Linked DNA regions of Drosophila melanogaster. The protein of the gene in region 2 interacts with the protein of the main gene of each other region in a pairwise test. Each region holds a gene or a part of one and is shown on either strand. Other genes may lie near its edges.

What was found. Proteins that work in one complex are often made in the same cells at the same time.
Region 1: the proteins of CG15741 (region 2) and beag interact in a two-hybrid assay, tested with the Drosophila melanogaster proteins (one large-scale study listed by BioGRID).

Annotation. Positions count from the first base shown.
Region 1 is NT_033777.3:9,062,600-9,067,078, forward strand, and holds beag (beag), read right to left. Parts: upstream 2,480-4,479; 5' UTR 2,391-2,479; coding exon 807-2,390; intron 742-806; coding exon 652-741; 3' UTR 533-651; downstream 1-532. Other genes in the region: Ada (adenosine deaminase), read left to right, coding at 2,640-3,653.
Region 2 is NC_004354.4:11,836,999-11,839,708, reverse strand, and holds CG15741 (uncharacterized protein), read left to right. Parts: upstream 1-1,682; 5' UTR 1,683-1,698; coding exon 1,699-2,106; 3' UTR 2,107-2,166; downstream 2,167-2,710. Other genes in the region: Cyp28c1 (cytochrome P450 28c1), read right to left, coding at 1-99.

The sequences.
Region 1 (4,479 bases), on a different chromosome or scaffold from region 2:
ATTTCCTCAAACCACTCTTGGCAGTGTAAAGGGCTGAGCTTCGGTTTTCCGAAGCTGAAAGATACAAACTTTACCGATACCCATTTTATACAAGTCGCCCCACCATCCTCACACTCGGACTTAGCGTAGTGATTAAGAATAGCATTCCCGCGAAGGTAATTACATTTAATCAGTGTCATATTTCTAAGCATGCAGGAAACGTTACATGTTAGAGAGCAGCACTAGGTGCACCCATCCAGCTTAAGTAGATGCAGCTCGCACACCAACTGAGAATCACAAGCAGTGCGTTTCGGGACTGTAAGAGCAATGCAATGCAAAATAAAGAGATCGATTTTATTTGATTGTCGAACCCGTTTTAAAGTTCCCCAACATTTGGCCTTACTCGATGGAAATTAAACTCGCGTTGCGCCAGCGGTCTTACAGTTCTGAATCCCACTGTACCAGCGCTATTGCCGCACATAGTCGATAAGTCAACCTGCCAAGCTCCCTAAGGACCCTCCCCTTAGTTCCCAACTCCAGTAGCAGTTAAATTAGTGATAACGTTGCTAAAATATATTTGAGAGCATGTAAGATTAATACAAGTACGAGCATACTTATATTTAATGTTTTACAGAATTACATTACAAATATAGAATAATGTTTCAAGAATTTCTAGTACTTTGCGGATTTGTAATCGGGTTCATCGCCACCAGCACCGCCGCCTCCACCGTCCTTTGGCAGTTTTCGCTTTTGAATGATTGTCTAAATGGCAAAGAAAAATAAATATTTTGTATTGATCATCGACGAATCCTTTGGGATATACATACCTGAATCTTTTGCCACTCCCTATCGAGCTCGGCCTTCTCGTTCTTCTCCGTCTTGTTCTTGCGCGTCTTGCGACCGTCCTGCATCTTGACCCCGTACTGGAAGGCTGCCTTGGGCAGCGCCTCCTTCGTGCTCATGTAGTCGGAGTACTCCTCCTGCGTGTCAAAGTCCCAGCGTCCAATGGGCCCCTTTTTATTGCCCAAATCCATCTTGGTGTAATCCACCTCATCGTCCGAGTCGTCGATGGCGTCGTTCATCTCCTCCAGCCCGGGATAGCATTCTGCGTATCCCTCGGGTTCAGCGAACCGTGCGGCCATGGCCTTCGATATCTTGGGTGGCGGGGGAATACTGGATATTATCGGCTCCTCTGATGCCTCCGGCGGGCCGTCTCCAAAGTAGGACGGGGCGGACTTGCCTTGCTCCTGGCGGTTTCGCTCAGGTCGCGTGGCAGAAGGTTGGTAGTCCCCTATATCGTCGTAGATATTATCGCCCAAGGGAGCTGATTTCCCTCCCATGTTCGATGAGGACGAGGTGGCGTGCCGACTGGAGCCACCATTGCTAGACGACCCACGAAGATTTTCCACCTCCTTTTCGTAGAACAGCGGTTTGTCCTTGTCGCGCTTTTTGTTCTTCTTGTTGCGACCACCGGCACGTAGATAGCTCAGGATTTGGGACAGCTTGTTGATCACAATGTCATTGGTGGTCAGCGTGGCAACATCCTCTTGTGACACCGGCACCTCGAACTTGGAGCGCTTCAGTGTGGTTGGAATATCCGACTCCCCTAGCTCGTCATCCAGGTCGATCACATAGGCCATCCGTCCTGGAGCAAATAGCTCATTGCGGGGAACTTCTTTCGAACGCCTTGCCTGCACTAGATTGTAAATATTGCGCGCTAGTGCACCATTGATTGCATTAATATCCTCCGACTCGCGGCGTTCCGCTTCCAATTGCTCAGCGGCGGCAGCTGCTTCGGCGAGCTTTTCCCTTGCCACAGCGGCGGCAATCTCCTCCTCTTCCGCTTCCTTCGAGTGCAGCTCGGAGCGCACTTTTTGCAGAAGGGCGTAATCAAGACCCTTCACCAAATGCGTATGCTGGATGTCTCCACCCAAGAACTTGGACTCCTGAATGATACGTCTTCTTCGCTCCTGGGCATCGATTCCGGATTTCATATCTGGCGCTACAGCTCGATACGCATTGGTGCTGCTTCCGTGTCCCGGCGTGCTCACGTTCACGTAATCTGGATTGGCACCATCGCGTCGTTCTCGTGCTCGGTCCCTGTACTTCTCGGACAGCTCTTGCAGCTTCACATCCTCCTGCTTCTTGAGCGCCGCATAGAAGTTCTTTTTCTTGCGACGCAGATCATTCCGCTCGCTGCTGCTCTGACCCTTCTTCTTTTCGCCACTCAATCCTGTCGTGCCGGGGGCGGTGGAGGGCGTGGCAAAGGTAGCAGTGGCCAGAGATCCTCCAGCGGAGGTGCTGCTCGTCCCGGAGCCAGGAGGAGGAGCTCGGGGCGTCGCTAGCAGCTTGCGGAAGTCATCGTTGGTTAGTCGCACCGAAGGCGGTGCTTCCAAGTGGGCATCCGACATGGCGAAGAAAATTCGAAGAAAACTCGCAGAGAAAATCTATATTTACAAATTGTGCTTCTTCTTGGTTTTGCCTGCCAGGGTTGGCTGTGTTTTTGATTTTTCTCCGTACTGTAATCGATAACATGTTTACAGTGATGGAAGATTAGCGTTTTTAGCGTTTTTTCCGAATAATTACGAATATTTGAAAATCGATTCCACATTTAGCATCACTGTTTCTCATAATGTATTGTTATTATTGTTAAACTACAAATGGAGCAGTTTCTTAAAGGTCTGCCCAAAGTAGAGCTCCATGCTCACCTCAACGGTTCCTTGGGCATCAAAAGCCTATGTGATCTTGGCGAGCGATTGTATGGAACCTCTTGTAAAGATTTCCTGAAGTTGTGCGCGCACTTCAGCCGATTTGAAAAGGATATGGATGCATGCTTCGAGAAGTTTGCATTTGTGCACGAGTTGACCTCCACCCGGGAGGGTCTGCGATTTGCCACGGAGTTGGCGATTCGAGATTTCGCTGAGGACAACGTCCAGTATGTGGAAATGAGGACCACTCCTAAGGCAAACGAGAACTATTCACGCAGGGACTACCTGCAGATCGTGATCGATGCAATTAAGGCAGCTAGCGAAACGTATCCAGAGATAACAGTCAAGCTACTGCCCTCCATCAATCGAGCGGAACCAGTGGACGTGGCTGAGGAAACAGTTTCCCTGGCTGTGGAGTTGGCACGGGCTCATCCAAATCTTATCTTAGGCATCGATCTTAGCGGTAATCCAGGGAAGGGGCGGTTTTCCGACTTTGCTCCTATTCTTGCACAGGCCCGGGATAAGGGTCTGAAGTTAGCTATACACTGCGCCGAGATCGAGAATCCATCGGAGGTAAAGGAAATGCTGCACTTTGGAATGTCCCGCTGTGGACATGGAACTTTTCTTACTCCCGAGGACATTGGGCAGCTTAAACAACGAAATATTGCCATTGAATGCTGCCTCACTAGTAATGTTAAGTCGGGAACAGTGCCCAGCTTGGAGGAGCACCACTTGAAAAGAATCATGGAGGCAGATGCACCCAAGGTTATCTGCACGGACGACAGTGGCGTTTTTGATACCACTTTGACAAAGGAGTTTCTGATTGCTGCGGAAACTTTCGGTCTAACCCGTGAACAATGCATCGATTTGACCTTGGAGGCAGTGCATCATTCATTCGCCAGCGAACAGGAGCAAATACAGATGGCGGATAGGGTGGGGAACTACGCAGACATATTGGTCAAATAAAAAAACTGTCACTGCCCTAATTGAAATAAATAAGTTTTTGTATGTAACACCATATATGTACCAACCTGATTCTTATTTGTCAAAAATTTTACCTTTTAATATCATTCTTTTTATTCAATATGTAGAAGTATTTAGTTACAAGTTTGTTCATTAGTTATGTTCATCCTTCGTACGTACATATGTGGCTAATAAGTTTTTATGTTTTTCTCATTTAATATCATTCATAATTGAATTCAAGTTTTCTGTTCATTACTTTATGTTCTCGTTTCTGCCGTTCTGTGTGGCTTAGTTTGGGGGTAGGCATTCAAAATACAATGGAGTACAAGCTTTGGTCAATAGTGGGCTCTTAAACTGCACCAAGTGAAGTGGACGATCGAAATCTAAGGAAACCAAAGTAAGACTTAAATGATCGAAATCTGTAGTTTAATAGCACATTTTGAAACAAACTTTTTGGGTGAAGACATCTTTATAGTCGGACCCTCCACCTACCCAAGCCTGCAGATTAGCTTTCAGTTGAAGTGGTTTGCCTGCCTGGTATTCCCTATATACAGTTTATCTATATTTTATACTTTTAGTTTGGTTTTAGCTTACTGCTGTGTTTCTACATGAGTTTTACTACTTTATCCAGTTCATTCCAAATGTCGAGCTTCAAGAAACGACCGACTTGGGAGTTTATTTATATTGTATAGAAGTGTTTTTACCTCAACTAGAGAGTTCAATTACAAATCTATATATTTATATAAAGGTTTACATTTCTACACTTTGGAAAAATTCTACTAGTTGAAAATGGTATGGTATGGATTTTGCTGTTGTATTCGACTTTATT
Region 2 (2,710 bases):
TGTGACTCCGCGACGCCGCCAGTGGCCAAAGTTCGAGACCAGAAAGGCATAGATCGCGCCCAGCAAGGTGGCAATCCCCAGTAGAAGCGATCCAAACATGACGACGTTGTAAGCGAAACTGAGTGGATGAAATTGAATCGGATACGCGCATCTGGTGGCACAAGGAGATCGGCGGAGATTGGGGATCTCCTCCGTAGCGTGCTTCCATTGCGCCCCTATGTATATACTATGCATACATTTATTATTCCCCATTTTGCAATTGATCTTATGTGGGTTTGCGTGTCGCTGGAACAGAACTTAGTTGGTGTCATTATCGAATTAACCAGCGAACTGCTCTTATGTCAGAATAACTAAGGAGCTGCATTTCGTAGTCGATCAAGGAACGTGTTCGAAAGTAAAGGTGCACAGGTCAAGCCAGTTGGGGGGATCAGCGATAGCGAAAGTAACTGCCAACAATCTGACAACCCTGAACGTAGCAAAGTCAAGTCGCAAGACAATCGGAACACTTAATTCAACAAAAGAGGCCATTGTCGAATTTTTGTTTGAGCTGCTTTTTATTCGCATATTTGGGTGCAAATATTTATTCAGCAACGGTTCGTGCAAGAAGAAAATTCCAAGCAAACCATTTCTCTTTTTCGAAAAGATCGGCGAAAAACCACTTGCAATTTCAAATCGCCACAAATTGCCATCTACTATGTCATTTTGCGTTGTGACGAATGCAATTAGATGAGCTTGCTTGTCTGTCAGCTTAGTGATCTAATCAATCAACTGCGAAATCGAGTCTCTCTCTCTATTTGGGGATTTTGTGCAGTAGTCGCTGGCTTCATCAATCATTCAAGATTGTACCATGATTGATGGTATTATGTAAACGAATTGCTCTAATTCCGGAAACCAGAGAGAAAAATAAACAAGCATTGCTCTAAGATTATATATTATATTATATTATATTATATTATATTATATTATATTATATTATATTATATATTCTTTGGTAGAGAATATTAAAATATGATTACTGTTGCTTATAATTGATTTTCAAATATAGGTAGCTAGTCTTTAAGTGTAGTTAAGATCCCACTAGTCAATGGCATTGACATTGTTTCGCCAGACGAATCTCGAGACCAGACCGTATCCAATGGACTCCAGCCCAATCCAAAGTGAAGAGATCTTGGCCAGCTTTTGAGGGGATCATTCCGCTGGTCTGCAAGATATGCGAAAATTCCTAATGATATATTCTTATATGTTATACTAATATTTAAGATAATATATTAAATAATATACTAAAAAATGAAACAGAACTATCAAACAAAAGATATTTTTAAACTGCCTCACAGCTCCAACAATTCTTTAATTACGAACAGAAGTTTTACCCTCGATTTTGGCAAATAGTGCCAATTATGTGACTCGTGTGCAAACAAACTGGGATTCTGGGCGTGTTCTATGCAAATAGCGAAAATAATGAAAATAATGCCATGGATCGGAGCACCGGAGATCCAAGACAGATGACAAATGTGTGGAAGGGGGGGGGGGGGGGGGTGGGATTGGTGTTGGTTGCTCCGTATTTACCCTGGCCAAATATACGTTTAATCTTCGGGCGGTTGGATGCTCGTTAGATGCCATGGATAGGGGTGCTATAAAAGCCTGGTTAGAATAGAGATAAAGGCACAGTTCCAAGTACCACTGCCCCAAAGCCGCAAGATGCGATTCCTCTGCGTACTGATCCTCGCCAGCCTCCTGGCAGTGGCTAGTTCAACTTCATCTACTTCACCTGCTTCATCTACTTCACCTGCTTCATCTACTTCACCTACTTCGTCCACTTCTCCAACTTCGTCCACTTCTCCAACTTCGTCCACTTCTCCAACTTCGTCGTCGTCGAGTTCCTCATCATCCACGGCGACCACCACTACAACGACAGTTGCTCCCACGACCACCACCACCACGGAGGCGTCCAGTTCATCATCGTCGAGCGATAAGAAAGTTCGGCACACGAGGCACTACGTCAACCGGCGTCACAGGAAGGACAAGAAGACCACCAAGAGCAAGAAAAAGAACAGCAAGAAAAACAAGAAAACCAAGAAAGTCCGACGCACCCGTCGCAGTGGTTAAATATTTTCTTCCTTTCGAAATCGAAATCAACCCACCGATCGCAGAAAAAACTATGATTGCATCACATCGTAATATATCTTTTTTTTTAATCAAATAAAGTAATTGAAAAATATTGAAAAATACATTTGCTGTTTCGAAATGAAGTTATTTTAAGTGAATATATAATAATATTATATATATAAAATCCTTGCAGAGAAAAACGATAATTGCTGAGTTTTTTTTTTTTAGTTTATGCATTTATTATATTATATGGTGGAATCAATTCTAGAATCGACCTCTCAAATGAATTCTATGACACTTTCGGTTATACAAATGAATTAAAAAAGATAGATTTTTTTTTTTTTGTGGTTTTTGTCTTATAGGCTTTTTTTTGTTTTGTTTGATTTTCGATTAACTAAGGGGAAAACATGCGACGACATGAAATGAACATCGTAATAAGATGCCCACATAAACGTAGATATATGTATATACTCATATATTTAGGTATGGGTTTTAAGTAAATGTTCTGCCAATTTGCGTATCTATATGTCTATATATATATATATATAAATATATATATATATATGTATGTGTATATATGCGAAATCATATCCGTAGACTTAGA